Linked DNA regions of Chlamydomonas reinhardtii. Each later gene encodes a partner of the first gene's protein in a complex. Links are inferred from orthologs where the notes say so. Each region holds a gene or a part of one and is shown in the gene's direction. Other genes may lie near its edges.

Region 1 (7,511 bases):
CGGGGTCTATCTGCAGCATGCGGCCCACCAGCGAGCGCAGCGGCGCACTGAACTGGTCGGCCGGCAGCGGGCTATACTCGCCCTTGCTGATCTTCTGGAACACGTCGTACAGGTTGGCGCCCTCCATCTCAAAGGGCGAGCGCAGGCAGGCCAGCTCGTACAGCAGGCAGCCCATGGACCACACGTCGCTCTTCCAGTCGTAGCCCGCGCCGCGCACTACCTCAGGCGACACGTAGTAGGGCGTGCCCACCTGCGCAAGTGGCGGGTGATGGGGGAGGGCGGAGGGATGAGGAAGTTCGGCGGAGGTGTTGAGGGCTCGGCGCGGCAGGTTTGATCCGGACCAACTTCGCGCACTTGCATTGCCTGCGCTGACAGGTTCCTAACGCAGTGATCCGACTTGTGTGGGTTTATGCAACTTTGAGCTTTTCCAACTCCTTGAGGCCCAACCACCCCATGAATGCTTTACGCCCTCCCGCCTCTCGCACCTTGGAGAACGCCTCCATCGTCTGCTCGCTCAGCTGTCGGCCCAGCCCCAGGTCCCCCAGCTTGAGCGCCCCGTTGGCGCCCACCAGCACATTGGCCGGCTTGATGTCTCTGTGCATGATGCGGTGCTGGTGCATGTAGCGCAGACCGTCCGTGACCTGCATGTGCAAGCGGGGACGGCGGGCAGAGCAGTGTCAGCACACATCGGATGCAGGAGCGCCCGGCTTGGCCCCAAACCCCACCTCAGCACCAGCCGCCCTGAACCCTCAGGCCCCTTGCCCCCACCTGGTAGAACAGCGTCCAAATGCTTGGCTCATCCAGCGTTTTGCCCTGCTCCGCTGTCTTCTTGATGAGGCGCTTGAGGTCGCCAGCAGGCGCCCACTCGAAGATGATGATGAGCATGTTCTCATCGATGAAGGCGTCCAGCATCTGGATGATATTGGGGTGGTCCAGCTGCTGCAACAGCGTCACCTCCTGCAGGCACCGATCGCGCTTCTTGGCGCTCATCTCAAAGATCTGTGTGCAGTTGAAGAAAGAGAGAGGGGTGCAGGCATGGGATGGGGCTTGATGGGCGCATGGGAAGGTGGACAGGTTATGGCACATGACCAGGGAATCGGAAGGGAGTGGGCGGCGGGGTGTCATACACACGCGCCCAACTGCTTTCCATGAGCTGCCAAGGCCATCTCTCCCAGGTCGATGAGGCTGTGAGGCTGCTGGCAGCTTTGCAAGCAGCTACGGCCCAGTGGGTAAATGGGCACAGAAGGACGTCGCCGACGCCGCGGACATTTGTTCTGCAGCCCTTGCCCTGGATGACTTCAACCCAAAACAACGCGTGGAAGCTTGCGCTGCCAGCGGCTAGGCGGGGTTTACAGGCCCGGCCCACGACCACTGCGTCCCATCCTGCCATCCATCAGCACAGTACCCCAGCCGGACTGTGTGGCCCGCGGTGTACAGACCCGTCGGCTGGAGCCCTCAGTGGCTGCGCGGCCAGCTGCTGCCGACTCGCCGACTGGCTTGTGGCCCGCTGCGCCTGCAACCCGCGCATCCCCAGATCCACCGCAGCTGCGTCTGTGCGGCTGCGCCTGGGGCCACCAGCTGCGGCGGCGGGCTTCCCCAGGCAAGCCCACGGCCAGCAGCCGCCACCGTACTGCGCCTTGCCCGCGTCCCGCCGCAGCTCAGCGGTGCGGGTGGCCGTGCAGCTGCTGCACGTGGATTGTCACTGCTGAGCGGCTGTCGGCTATGTCCGTGGCACGCTTGCACGAGCGGCCATCATATTGACCGCCTGTTGGGGCCCACGCCTGCCGTTCCGTAACCGTAACCCGGCCTGGCCCCAGCGGCACACCAGCGCCCAACCAGCGCCTGTGAAGCTGCGCACTATGCCTGGAACACTGCCCCCTGGTCCGCTCTCCTCCCGTCGGAGGTCTTCCATGGAAAACACGCCCAGGCCGCCCAGCGAGTAGCTCACCTCGACCTTCTTCACGGCCACCACGCGACCGTCGTCCCGGCGGATGCCCTTGTAGACCACCGCATAGCCGCCTTTCCCCACGGGTTTCTGGACGTCGTAAGCATCCGTTAGCCTCCCAGGGCATGAAGGTACGACGCCCAGGGTCTCCCCGTCCCCCCTGGCGGTGTTTGGAGCCTCGCGCGTTGCTGGGCGACTGCCATTTTTCGATGCCTGCCGCGCTGGTGACGGGACCGTCTGCAAAGACCCCGCACCAGGCTGGGCCTCAACCGTCTGGGGCCGGCTTTCTGACTGCCTGCTCGTTGGCCGGCTCATTTGCTCACTTTGCTAGACATGCGCGACCGCGGGGCTGACCGGATATCGCCCCGCGAAGAGCTGTATTTAACACATCTTGTTTTGATAAGTTGGCAACATGAACTAACGAGTGGAAAGCTTATTAGAAAGCGGCACAACACCAGGTCGTTTGAACGCGTCGTCAAAGGTAAGAAGTAAAGCTTGTTTTCACCTTATAAGGCTGGGCATTGAGCTACTCGCGCAGCGGGCGATGGTAAAGAAAACCAATGGGCATGGAACATTTGGGACTCACGAAAATCTCTGTCGCTGCTCAGGTATTTAGTATTTTCATTCAATGCCATATTAATGCAACCATGAGGCAAGCGCTATCAGCTAGGGGCTGTGACCAGCGACTGGCGCAACACGGCTCCAGCTCAGTTCTTCGTCCACTGCAAGCACGATCTCTCCTAAAACGCTTGCAAATAGCTAGCTCCAACCAGACACAGGCGCATACAGATGTTGCAGGAACGAGCACGAGCGGGAGGGAGGAGGTGAGTCTCTGCCGAGTGCTGCGTTGAAACAGCGCTTGCCTGGGACATAAGCAGTTGCGTGGTCGCTTTAACAATTCCTGGGTGTCGTCAGCGGAGCAGATGCAGCTAGTCACGGCTTGGACCAATATCTGGGGACGGTTGACAGCTCAAGGGGAAAGCGGAATACTGCTCCACAGTCCTGGCGCAGAGGACCTGAGCCCCCCGTGCGTTGTGACGTGCACGTGCAGCGGCCCATCACCATGTCCACTGGGGAGTGGGGCGAGGAGCTGTACTTCGACTGGTAAGCGGATGAGCGCCCACCGCGCAACTCCCCTTTCGGGGTCGGCTGACTGCGTGGAGCCGGATGCCCCTGGGGGCAGTGCATCGCAAACGCCAGCAGCCTTCTGCAGCGCGGGCACAATCTTCGTGTCAGGGTTTAGGTCCTTGCCTTCGCGGCCTTCACGCTCTGACGCCTGGGCAACCGCCGCGTCGCGCCTGCTGCAGGGAGTACAACTCTCAAATATGCTACCGCCAGAAGGGAGAGGTGCGCGGTTGCGTGGGAACTCCACTCACGAACTCACCATACTGAGTCGCATAAGTCATGAGGCACTACCATCCCTGCAGCCTTCCCGTCATCTTTCACGGACGGCCCCGCCCCTTCGTCCTCCCAATCCTGATTGCAATGGTGAACGCACTCTACCCACACCCTGCGATTTACCACTTGCCGCCCCCCCCCCCCCCGCGCACAGTCCGGCCCGCCCATTCTGATGCTCCACGGCTTTGGAGTGGGCAGCTGGCATTTCCACCGCAACTGGGAGGACCTGCAGCACGACCACCGCGTGTGGGCGGTGGACCTATTGGGGCAGGGTGAGTGCGCACAGGGGTGCTTTATATGGTGCTGGACAATCGCTTGCACTTGTGTCCGGCCCTGCTCTGTCCGCCCCGTGGGTGTCGGCATAATTTGAACTCGAACAATCACCAAGTCCTGTGCTAACCATTGGTCAACGTACTGCTGACTCCACACACACACACGCGTATGCACACACGCCACAGGCCGTAGCTGGCCGGCCCAGCCTGTGTCGACCTCGGACGCCGCGGGCAAGCTGTTCTTCAGCGTGGACACCTGGACGCGGCAGCTGGAGGCGTTCCTGGAGCAGGTGGTGCGAGAGCCCGCGTACGTGGCCGGCAACTCCCTCGGAGGGTGAGTACGCGCTGCGAGGGGGCGGGATTACTTACCGTAAAGCCAAACTAACCCAAGAGGGTTACAGGCAACGGAGGGCGGTGAAGGTTGTATAGGAATGCTTGTGAGCGGCAGGGGCACAGTGCCCAGCTCTTGCTGGCCCGCGTGCACGCTCACACACAGCGTGCTCGCAGTCTCGCCAAGGGGTCCTTCTGGTCGCGGTTGCTGTAGCTTGGGATGACAGGCCGCGGCCCCGTTCCGTCGCTGCCATGGCCTAACCCTAGAGGCATGCCTGAACCTGCCTTCTCCCTGCCCCGCCTGCAGCTACCTGGCCGTAATGCTGGCCGCTCGGCGGCCCGACCTGGTCAAGGGGCTGACGCTGCTAAACGCAACGCCCTTCTGGTGAGCAGCGGGGGCACATGGCGGCGCGGGCTGGTGCGGTGAGAACAGAATCCACACCTGGCACTTCCTTGAAGCCATTGGGCCATGCAATCGGTGCTGGCGCCACACGCACTCGCGGCGTCGACCCCCCTTCTGCGTTGTGCTGTTCCTGATACACACACACGCGGTGTCTGGCTGTGGTGCGGTGCGGTGGAAACGATGGTCTCTCATCTGCTAGCTAGTCCTTTTACTGTCAGGATATCGCAGCACAACATCTGGCGATGCGACTGCGCAGGGCCTTCCGGCCGCCCCGCGCGTCGGCCCAGGCGCGCAGCTGGCTGTGGCGGGCACTGGACCGCGCGGTGGACGGCTCCGTGCCCGTGCCCCACGTGAGTGCTGCCATGCCGCGATGATGCTGTGCAGTACGGTAGAGAGAGGCAGGCTCCAGCGGGCGAGTTGCATGGGCGACGTGTGGTGTGGAGTGACGTGCAGCAGCCTCGTGTGCTGACAGGGATACGCTGTGCTGCTGCCCCTTTGCCCCGCAGTCCCTCAAGAGCGTCATTGAGCGCTACTGGTGAGCACGAGACGTTCAGCCGCTGAGCACACCGCATGGATCTACACAGCGCTGTTTGCGCTGCGCTTCAGCTGTCCTACCTGACACCTCCACGCAAACACACCTGCCGCATGCATCTCAACCGCCGCCGCCTCCATCACCTCCCTGTGCTTGCAGGTGGGACACGCTGCGCTCGCCCGCCACCATCAGCGCCATGCTGCAGCTGGTGTACGCCGACAAGAGCCCGCCCGACCCGCCGCTCATCAGCCGCATCGTGGAGGCCACACAGCACCCGGGCGCACTGGACGCATTCACAAGCATCGTGCTCAGCCCCAAGGTGAGAGCCCCGCATGCTACCTCCTCTTTTGCTTTTTCTGTGAATGATGTGGGGACGTTCTGCCATCTGCCCCAGCATCGATTGAGAAGAACCGATTAAGACTGACCAAGACCGACTGAGACCGACTTCCCTCCCGCCCGCCACTACTCTCCTGCCTGCCTGCCTCTCCCCAGGGTGAGCTGTCGTTCGACGAGCTGCTGGACCGATTGGCCTGCCCCGTGCTGCTGCTGTACGGTAAGGAGGACCCCTGGGTGCGGCCGCTGTGGGGGCAGCGCCTCAAGCGGCGGCTGCCCGAGGCCATGTACCTGGAGCTCAGCCCCGCAGGGTACGTGGCCGTGTGGGTGAATGTGCGGGGCGGGTGCGGGGCTGCAAGCTAGAACGTGTCACGTGTGTGCATCCGCGGTGTGCGCTACCGGCTGGGACGCAGACGGCTGGGTGGGAGCGCCGGTGACACTGCGCGTGGGGGCGTACATGGATAATCAGGGCCCTGGTCGTCGTGTTATGCTGGTGCACCCTACCAAACTTCCTGTGCATCTGCTGCCAACTCAGGCACTGCCCGCACCACGAGACACCGGCGGCGGTGAACCGCGCGCTGCGGGCGTGGGTGGCGGCGCAGGAGGCCCGGCCACAGCCGCAGCTCGCCCTGGCTGCGCCCTCGTTATCCACAACAGCTGGCGCCGGCGCCTCAGCGACAGCAGCCGGGGCCTCAGCCGCCTACAGCTACGGCCCCGTGGCAACGCTCGACACGGTGGCGACGCCACTGCGGGAGCCGGCTGAGGTGGTGGGGGCGCGCATGGGTCTGCCGCTGCACTCCAGCTGGGATGTGACGGAGGCGGACGGGCGCCACATCACCATCAGCCACATAGAGGGCTCGCCGCGCAGTGTGGCGGAGCAGCTGGACTACGCCGTGTGGATGTGGCTGGGCAGGGCGCTCGGGGCCGTGGGCAGCAGCGGCACCGGCAGTGCCAGGGGAAGTGGGAGCGGCAGCAGCGGCGCGGCGGCGTGATGGGAGTGATACCGCACCGTGTTCCTGTGGCGCGTGCATTGTGGTCTTGTAAATGCTTGCCGTGTTGGGTGGAGGTATACAATAATAATTTGTGGCGGTGTAAAGGATCCTGTTCGTTGGTCGGGTACCGCATGAACAGTGAGTGGCTCGTGCACGCGGGTGCATCGTGTGAGCAGTGTGAGGTCGGCGTTGCAGAGCGTTGCGCAGGAAGGTCGTATTGGCACTGCACTCTATTTGTCGAAATTACAGTATACACTTGGTGTGCGCAAAAAAGAAGTATGAGCATGGTATAAATGGAAGATCAATCAGCAGCGCGCCAATCCAGGACATCGGGGTGCTCTGCAAAGCACGCTTGCGTGTGTGCATTGCCGTGCCGCTTGTAGCGAGTTGTAGCGAGTCTGCGCAAGTGCGCTGTTTGCCAGTGCAGCGGTTTTGCAAAGGTGGCTTATCATCATGTAGCGAGGGGTGCGTAAATACTACTACGAGCTCAGGGAAGCTGGCTCAAGTACGAAGCGTGCCCCGGTGGTCGGCGGACCGTTGAACAGGCGGTCGTGAGGCTCGTTAACTGGCTGCCCCTCCTGCGTAATTGGGCACCCCTGGGTAGTGTGGGCAGGCGGACACGCATTGCATAAGCCCCCAGCCAGGCATTAACGAAGTGCTTGCGAGTGAATGCGAATGCAAGACGCCGTCGCGAGCTCGCATTACGCATTACTCGCGCGGAGTCAGAAGCCCGGCCCTCCAAGCCCTACTTCGGCTGCTGACACGGAGATGCATGGGCCCCCGGAAGCTGCAACAAGAAGACGAACTTGATCTTTTCATGATTATCCGCAGCTGCGCAGACGAAAACCACAGCGGGGAGTTGAACTGCATGAGAACCCGGAACCCTTAACTCAACCCAGCAGGCTTCAATTGTATCAATTGGCATTACTCTAGATATACTTGGCCCGTGCCTGTATCCCCTCGCATCATTTGCAAGGTTGTGCGTCAATCAATCGCTGCGTGACGATGCTGGCCACGGCCGCAAGCAAGCTCGGCCTAACAGGCCTGGGCATTCAGGCAATCAGTGCGGTCGGTAACTCGATTCGCCAGTTCTCGTCGACCGAGAACACCGACCTGAAGCAGGCGCTTCGTGAGCTCATTCCGGCGCAGCAGGTGCGGGTTGCCCCAGCCTTCCTTGCAACCCACAAACCCGGGGCTCATCACGCGTGATGTATGGCCGTGCAGGAGCGCCTGAAGGCCCTGAAGAAGGGCCATGGCTCCAAGTCGCTGGGCGAGGTGACCGTGGATATGGCGATCGGCGGCATGC
Region 2 (7,568 bases), on another chromosome or scaffold:
ATTTTTTTCTACAATAGGGAATAGCAATTCATGCCATGTGCAACTGAAAACGGAGCATATGGACGGGATCAACTACACGGTTTGCCTGATCACCCCTGGCCCATCGGCACGGCGCGACGGTCAGCACAACTACTTGCGGATGAGGTCTGGCGCCCCGCCATCCGCTGGCTAAATCTACACGGTGCTGTGTCGCTTGCTCTCTTCCGACTACAGTGGGCCACCTTCCAGGGTCGCGCAAGATTTGCCAAAGCCCCCATCCCAAGTGCACCAACCCCGGCCCCCCGCTCGATACCCCCCATGCCTGCACACACATCAACTGCAGATCAACCTCACATACACCGCCCCCAAGGCCACGCACGACTCGTCCGCAAACGTTTGACTCGCCCACAGGCGCTGCACCAGTGGCTTTGTGGAGCGACACATCACCACTCCCACACGCATCCTGCGTGCCGTATCCAAGCATTAGGGCTTCCTAGACACCCGTCATCCCCTGCAGGCAGCTCCCCCAGGCCGGCCCGGGCAACACAGCTGCAGCAGCTCCACGCCTCTATCTCCACCTCGCCCTCCGCACATCCAGCACCCGCGCGCTACTGCTGCTCCTGCTCCTTGCCTCCACACCGCCCAACCGAACCCCTCCTCCTCCCATCCCACCTCAATCCCCCTCGCCATACTCCCCGCCCCCCTCCTACTCCAGCTGCATCATGACTGCCGACAGCTGCTCCAGCGCCGCCAGCGTGTCCAGCTCCCCCCGGCCCGAGGGAGGAGGAACCACCTCCACAACCACTGCAGTAGCAGCAGCAGCAGCAGCCCCCGCCTCGCCCCCAGCGGCAGCAGCAGCAGCAGCGGGCCGCCAGCCGCGGCCGGCGGCGGCCGCCAGTGCGTCGGCCTCGCCGCAGCCGCACAGGGCCGCCAGACGGGCCGCGCTGATGTGGCTGCGGCGGTGGGAGGGAGGGGCGATGGGCAGGACGGGAGGCGCGTGTGAGAGATGTGGAGTGCACGTGAGCAGTGAGCGGTGCATTGTGATGGTGGCTCACCGGCGTTCGTGCACAAGCGGCCCAGCGGCCACAGCAGCACAGCACGGCAACCCGCCCACACGCCTTCACCACCACATTAACGGACAACAACACGTCGTACACCCCTCCTCGCCGCCCTGTTTGCACCCCTCCCCCTCCCCCTATCTCAACACCTTCCGAGCCTACCCCAGCCCGCCCCAAGCGCCCACAGCCGCCTGACCACCACAGTTTGCGCTCTAAATTCGCCCCCTCATGGGGATGGCGAAAAGGACCCCCCCCCCTCCCGCGGTGCCCCTCGCCCTGCTGCTCCACGACACCTCGGCCCCCTCCCATAAGAAGTCCCGCTTGCATTTGTCGCCTCTGCCTGTGCTCCGCTAGTTCAACTTGCTTTGGGCTGGTATTTACACCCCCCGCCTTGGTCCCCCTATTGGGCTCGGCCACAAAACCCTTCCCCCCCCAAAACCGCCGCCCCCCCTCACCTGTAGGCCTGCTCCACCAGGTCCAGCTGCCTCGCGCGCAGCCGCTCCGCCAGCGCCTCCACCAGCTGCCCCGCCGGCCCCGACCAGGGGTGGCCGCGCAGTGCCCGCCACACGCCCTCGCCGCTGCCCTGCCAGGCGCACTGCAGCAGCCGAGCCGCGGCAGCCACCTGGGGTGGAGGCGGGTGTGTGCACGCACGGGGGGGGCGGCAGGGGCGTGTGAGGGGGGCACAGGGGCGTTGGGATGCACAGGAGCGGGCAGACAGGCCCTGCGGGCGCGTGAGCTTTGGCCAACAGGAAGTACAGGCGGCGTCGCATGGCGGTGCAAAGCTGGAGACGGCAACACGTGCCCCTACTCTGTCCGCCCCTGGCGCTGCTCTCGACCGCCCATCATGGCAGGGACTGGGTTGCGCCGCCGTCTCCACGCCCAACTCCCCTCGCTCGCCCTGCCCGCCAGTTCAGTGCTGTGGAGCAAAGAACGGATTCCGGGCATGCACACACGCCAGCCCCCCAGCCCCCCCCCCAGCTCGCCCCCAACAGACCACCAGCCGCCCAGCCGCCTCATGGGCAGTGTGCCAACAACCCCCAGCCCCTCCACACCGCCTCCGACAGCTCCTCACCACCACCACCAGTACCACCTCCCCACCACCACCACCGCCGGCCCACCTGCGGGTCGGCCCTGACCCCCTCGGGCATGCGCTTGAGCAGCAGCCGCGCATCCGCCAGGTTGCCCGCATACACGTGCGACAGCAGGTGCAGCGCAGCAGGCCAGGGCGCAGCAGCGCCGCCGTCGGCGCCTGCAGCGACGCCCGCTGCTCCGCCGCCCGCGGCTGGTCCGCCGCCTCCTCCCTCGGCAGCTGCGCCCCAGGGCGCCAGCGCGGCTAGCTCCGCCTCATCCAGCAGCCCGCACACGCCGCCGTAGTCGCCCGCCGCCAGGGCCGCTCCCACGCGCTCCATCACGCCCGCGGCCGCCATTGCTGCTGCTGGTGAGTCTGTAGTGCTGTGTGGCTGTGCGCGGCTATAGATGGATGCGCAGTGCCTGGGGTCTGTGCCGTGGTGCCAACAAAGGAAAGAGCTGGGTGTGGCGCTACAAGCCGCCTTGCTCCGTAGCGGTGGTGCCGCGGCAGGCCTGTGTAGTAGCTGTGCCGCACACAGAGGCTGCAAGAGGCGCGTTTGTGCAGGCGGGAGGAATGCGGGCGGGCGGTCGCGCAGTGTCAGGGTCGGCGGGCATGGACGGAGAGCCCGGAGAGGTGTCCGAGCGGAAGGCAACGCATGATAGCGATATGGCTCACCCCAGCCAGCCTCACAAACATACCCTCCCAAGATACAAGCCGCACGTACCAAGCCGGTGAGCGCGAGACGCTGTGCTGCTCACAGATCCCTCCACTGCGCGCAAGTTAAGTTTTTCCTCTTGCAACGCAGTTTGCACTAATCGCTTTTATTGTATGTAAATGCTGAATAATATCAACAGTCGGGAGGATCGCAGGTCTGGGAAACGCAAACTCCCGAGGACGCGGTTTGTTGTATTGTCCCGTGCTATTTCTTCCCGCAACGGGTAGAAATGAGAAGCAGTATGTCAAATGCGCTTACGGAAAGGAAGGGAAGGTCAGAACAGCAGGGGCCCTCGATTGCATCATGCAGGTTTCGCTCGCTCTCAGCCATCTGGGCTTCTTGCCTCACCGTGCCAACTCGTTGGCTTATAAACGAACTTGTGGTAACGTTTTGGCGCACTCGGTCTGCTTATCAACGCCCTCTATTGGATTCTACTCGCTCTTTGTTTGTTCCTTCTACGTGCGTGACCAACCACCCCAGCGATCCAACCCAGTCGTCATTTCAATTGTACCGTTAGCCATGATGCTATCGCAGCGCTCGGGCGTTGCCGCGAAGGCTCACGCGTCAACTGCTCGCGCCATCAACCCCAACGCTGTGGCATCACTTGCGGCTAGCGCACGCGGCGGCCCCGCCAGCACCAGCAGCTTCGGCGCCGCAGGACTTGCCCGCGCCTCGCCCGCGCGTCGCGGGCTTGCGCAGGGCGGGAGCGCGGCTGCACGCCGCGCCCGCCGCAGCGTCACGGTGACGCGCGCGGCCACCCAGCAGACCGAGAAGCCAACCGCCGCGGCCAACGGCACCCCCGCAACCGCCACCAACGGTAACGGTGGCGGCAAGGCGGTTGCGCCCCAGGCGCCGTACAACGTGGTTATCACCGGCTCCACCAAGGGTGAGAGCGACCCAGTCGCTGGGGAGGGTGACGGTGGCGGGGGGCGGAGCGGTGGCGAGGTGGCGAATGGGCTGCAGAGGGTGATGGTGGAGACGTGGCGGACGGGTGGGGGAAAGGTGGCGGAGAGGTGGCGAGGTGGCGAAGGGGCTGTCAGGGTGGGCTTGAGGATGCGCATTATCGCTGTGTGTCTGTGTGGACCCAGTCCGCTCTCCCCTGCCTGCTGCCCCCCTGCCCTAGGCATCGGCCGCGCGCTGGCCGAGGACTTCCTGCGGGCGGGCGACCGCGTGGTGGTCTGCAGCCGTACCGGTGAGGCGGGGTGTGGGTGGGTGGGAAACCAACCCAACGTAAACCCAAACCAACGATAAAAAGCGAGGAGGAGACCAAACCAAACTGAGCTAGCGCAGTACAGGCACAGGCGACAGGTGCACAGGGTTAGTTAATTCCAGTCCCAAAGACACCAAAACCCAGAACGCAAGGGGGTTACTTTCGCCCATCCCACGAGTGAAGAAAGAATAGGCGGTCGTCGAGGGCTTCCGGAGCTCGGGCGGTCCGCTGGTCTGCTATTGCAGGGCCTGCACGGGTGCATGTGGGCCCACCACCACCGCCACCACCACGACCTGACCACCACAACCACCACCACCACCTGCGCGCTCTCGCCTCTACACCCGCACCCAAGGTGACCGGGTGTCTGAGACGGTGGCTGAGCTGGCAGCGCAGTACGGCGCTGACCGAGTCAAGGTGAGGGGGCGGTGGTGTTTTGGGGGGAGGGCGGGAGGTTTGCCGTCCATGGGGGTGGGAGCACTGGGGTGGAAGTTAGTTAATTCTGGGGTGGGGAGGTAGTTTGTTCTTAACCCCGACGAAAGCAAGGCCCAGCCAGCCCACAGAGCACGAAGCGGGATTCTATGCCCGAGCCCAACAGGGTTTATGTATCTGGGCCCAATGATAAAATCCCAGGGGGGAATAGCCGTCCACGGAGGGACTAGAACCGGAAGCGGCTGGGGGCAGGTGGGGGTTGAGGGTTGGAGACTTGGGGGCGAAACACAGGGGGGCTGCATGCGGGGCTGTCGGGTCGTGACATCCCCGAGTGTGGATGCATGCGGTCCGATTGATTGCGCAAGGGAGGGGAACGCGTTGGGTACGTGTGCATGTATGTGTGTTTTTGGAAACATGAACGGTGCGTGGCTTATGAACCCGCCACCCCTGCAGGGTCTGGCGGTGGACGTGTCTGCCCCCGGTCAGGCGCGGCAGCTGGCGGACTTTGCGGCGCAGGAGCTCGGGCGCGTGGACATCTGGTACTGAGGGGGAGAGCTGGGGGAGGGCTGGGGGCAGGCGGGCAGACGAGGGGGGGGGAGGGGGGGTCGAGAACCGGAGCCTGTGCTGGAGCGCCTGCCTGCCTGCCTGCCTGGAGGGGAGGGCGCTCCCTCTTGTCGCCTGTGCCGACACGCCCTCTCAACCCCACCTCCCACCTCCACCACCCCCACCTCCTCCACCTCCCGCCTCCTGCGCCCGCCAGGATCAACAACGCCGGCACCAACGCCTACCGCTACGGCCCCATGGCCGAGTCCACCGACGAGGAGCTGAGTCAGATCGTGGGCACCAACGTGCTGGGCGTCATGCTGTGCTGCAAGGAGGTGGGGTGGGGGGGTGAGGGGTGAGGGTGGGATGGGGTGGATGGGATAGGGGGGGTGGGATGGGGGTGGGATGGGCGGGATGTAAATACCAGCCCACTCTCAAGAAGCCAAACTAGCAGAGCACAGGGTACATGGGAAGGGCTTACATCAGGCTTACATGGGCCACCCCCAGTGAAGGGAGGCACGGGACAAGGGCGGCTAGGGGTGGGGGCAGCTGGGGGGAAGGAAAAGGCAGGGGATGCAGAAGCATTGCTCGCCATCCCTCCCTTTGGCTGTCCGCCTTTGGCGAGACAAAGCACGGGGCGCGGGGGCTCGAGTGGACTTTGGACCTGCCAAACCACGCTGTGTATGCGTACGTGTACGGCGTGTGTGTGTCGTACTCTGCCCGCAGGCCATCCGCGTGATGCGCAGCCAGAGCACGCACGGGTGAGCTGCAGCGGGGGAGGGGGCGCCGGCACGGCCAGCTTCCACCGCGCGGGTTAGCCCACCGTGCACGCACATGCAGAGCGATTTACCAGTCAACCTTAATGCCCCATGCCTGCGTGCTGCCTTCTGGTTCCCTGTACCCCTTTCCCCCTGTAACTCGCTAGCTGAGTTTGCTTTGGTTTAGCTTATGCTGGAGTTGACAACCCACCCGACACCCTGAACCGTTCACATGAATGGCTACCCCCCCCCCCCCACCCCCACACCCCCACCCCCACACACAACCCCACTCCCCCCCCCCCTGGAGCGCGGCCGCCCGGACGGCCGCTCATGTGGTAACGACTTCGTCTGCAGTCTTCAGTGCATCCTGTACCGCTTTTCCAAACATCCTTGCAACCCCCCTCGCCCCCCACGTAGCCACATCTTCAACATGGACGGCGCGGGCGCGGACGGCAACGCCACGCCGCGCTTCGCCGCGTACGGCGCCACCAAGCGCTCGCTGGCGCAGCTGGGCAAGAGCCTGAGCGCGGAGCTGGGCATGCTGGTGAGAGGGGAGGGAGGAGGAACGAGGGAGGGGAGAGAGGAGAGAGGGGGGGAGCCAGGGGGAAGAGGGGAGAGGGGAGAGGAGGGGCCTGTGTACGCGAGGCTGTAGGAGGTTTCATACTACGCGCAGCTAGATGAACGGAAGCCTCCTTTCAACCTTCGTGTCACATACACACACACACACACACACACACACACACACACACACACACACACACACACACCTTCTGCCTCCCACCCCCCACCCCCCGCAGGGCATCAAGAATGTGGCTGTGCACAACCTGTCGCCAGGCATGGTCACCACCGAGCTGCTCATGGCGGGCGCCAACACGCCCACCGCCAAGTTCTTCATCAACTGCCTGGGTGCGTGTGGGGCGTGTGTGTGTGGGGGGGGTTGGGGCGGGGTGGGTGGATGTCTTTGTAGGTGCATCAGATGTCAAGACGGTGTGTAAAGGTGTGTGTATTGGCGTGCGCAATGGAGTGCAAGTAGTCCAACCAATCGCGGACCGCCACTCACCCGGCCCTCTGCTGCCCATCCCTTCCTTCCTCCCCTTCCTCCCTTCCCCCTTCCTCCGGTCCCCCGCTACAGCCGAGCCCGCCGCCGACGTGGCCTCCTTCCTGGTCCCCCGCATCCGGGCCGTGCCTGCTACAGCCGCCAGCCCGCTGACCGGCGCGCTACAGCCGGTCTACATCCGCTTCCTCACACAGGGCAAGGCGCTGCAGCGGGTGGCGGCGGTGAGTGGTGGGCTGGAGGGTTGTGCCGGAGGGGCGGGGGAGGGGGCTGGTTGGGGGGCGGGGAAGGCATGGGTTTGAGGGCGGGCGCACGCCGGCGGACGGGTTTGGCAGGCTACCCGAGTGTGCCCTTCCCATGTACGGGGAAAGACCCTAGAGAAACTGCTGAATCCTCGGCACATGGTTTGCGTGTCGGGAGAGCATACCATCGGCCCCCGGCTTTCAACGATGCCTCCCGTGACTCATGGGGCGGGAACTTTAACTGCAACAGCTGCGCGCCCATTCCGCCTCCACCTCCTTCGCTGACCCCCACGCCCACCCGTCCCCCCCCTCCACCCGCACCGCCTGACAGCGGCTGCTGACGGGCTCGCGCAAGAGCCGCTACGTGGAGGAGTGAGGCGGCAGAGCGAGGCGGCCGAGTGAGGCGGAGGAGTGAGGCGGCAGAGTGAGGCGGCAGAGTGGGGCAGGCGGCCGAGTGAGGCGGACGAGTGGATCTGCCGAGTGAGGGAGCTGGCCGTGACGGGAAAGGGGG

Evidence for each region.
Region 2: CHLRE_12g514700v5 (region 1) and CHLRE_14g608800v5 share a complex: the UniProt entries of both Arabidopsis thaliana proteins name them as parts of the SGR1-CCE-LHCII complex. The link is inferred for Chlamydomonas reinhardtii from reciprocal best matches to the Arabidopsis thaliana genes PPH and NOL.

What each region holds. Positions count from the first base shown.
Region 1 is NC_057015.1:3,710,449-3,717,959, forward strand, and holds CHLRE_12g514700v5 (uncharacterized protein), read left to right. Parts: upstream 1-2,603; 5' UTR 2,604-2,769; intron 2,770-2,996; 5' UTR 2,997-3,008; coding exon 3,009-3,049; intron 3,050-3,252; coding exon 3,253-3,292; intron 3,293-3,497; coding exon 3,498-3,615; intron 3,616-3,801; coding exon 3,802-3,949; intron 3,950-4,252; coding exon 4,253-4,330; intron 4,331-4,604; coding exon 4,605-4,698; intron 4,699-4,854; coding exon 4,855-4,883; intron 4,884-5,039; coding exon 5,040-5,199; intron 5,200-5,372; coding exon 5,373-5,524; intron 5,525-5,748; coding exon 5,749-6,205; 3' UTR 6,206-6,781; downstream 6,782-7,511. Other genes in the region: CHLRE_12g514650v5 (uncharacterized protein), read right to left, coding at 1-250, 486-641, 769-999, 1,949-2,260; CHLRE_12g514750v5 (uncharacterized protein), read left to right, coding at 7,211-7,357, 7,430-7,511. UniProt on the Arabidopsis thaliana protein: Alpha/beta hydrolase dephytylating specifically the Mg-free chlorophyll pigment (pheophytin), yielding pheophorbide. No activity on chlorophyll. Belongs to the chlorophyll catabolic enzymes (CCEs).
Region 2 is NC_057017.1:174,242-181,809, reverse strand, and holds the start of CHLRE_14g608800v5 (uncharacterized protein), read left to right. Parts: upstream 1-3,202; 5' UTR 3,203-3,340; coding exon 3,341-3,707; intron 3,708-3,944; coding exon 3,945-4,013; intron 4,014-4,383; coding exon 4,384-4,445; intron 4,446-4,913; coding exon 4,914-4,999; intron 5,000-5,220; coding exon 5,221-5,338; intron 5,339-5,729; coding exon 5,730-5,764; intron 5,765-6,178; coding exon 6,179-6,305; intron 6,306-6,558; coding exon 6,559-6,667; intron 6,668-6,893; coding exon 6,894-7,039; intron 7,040-7,388; coding exon 7,389-7,433; 3' UTR 7,434-7,568. Other genes in the region: CHLRE_14g608850v5 (uncharacterized protein), read right to left, coding at 686-932, 1,493-1,659, 2,156-2,464. UniProt on the Arabidopsis thaliana protein: Required for chlorophyll b degradation. Chlorophyll b, chlorophyllide b, pheophorbide b and pheophytin b can be used as substrates. Belongs to the chlorophyll catabolic enzymes (CCEs).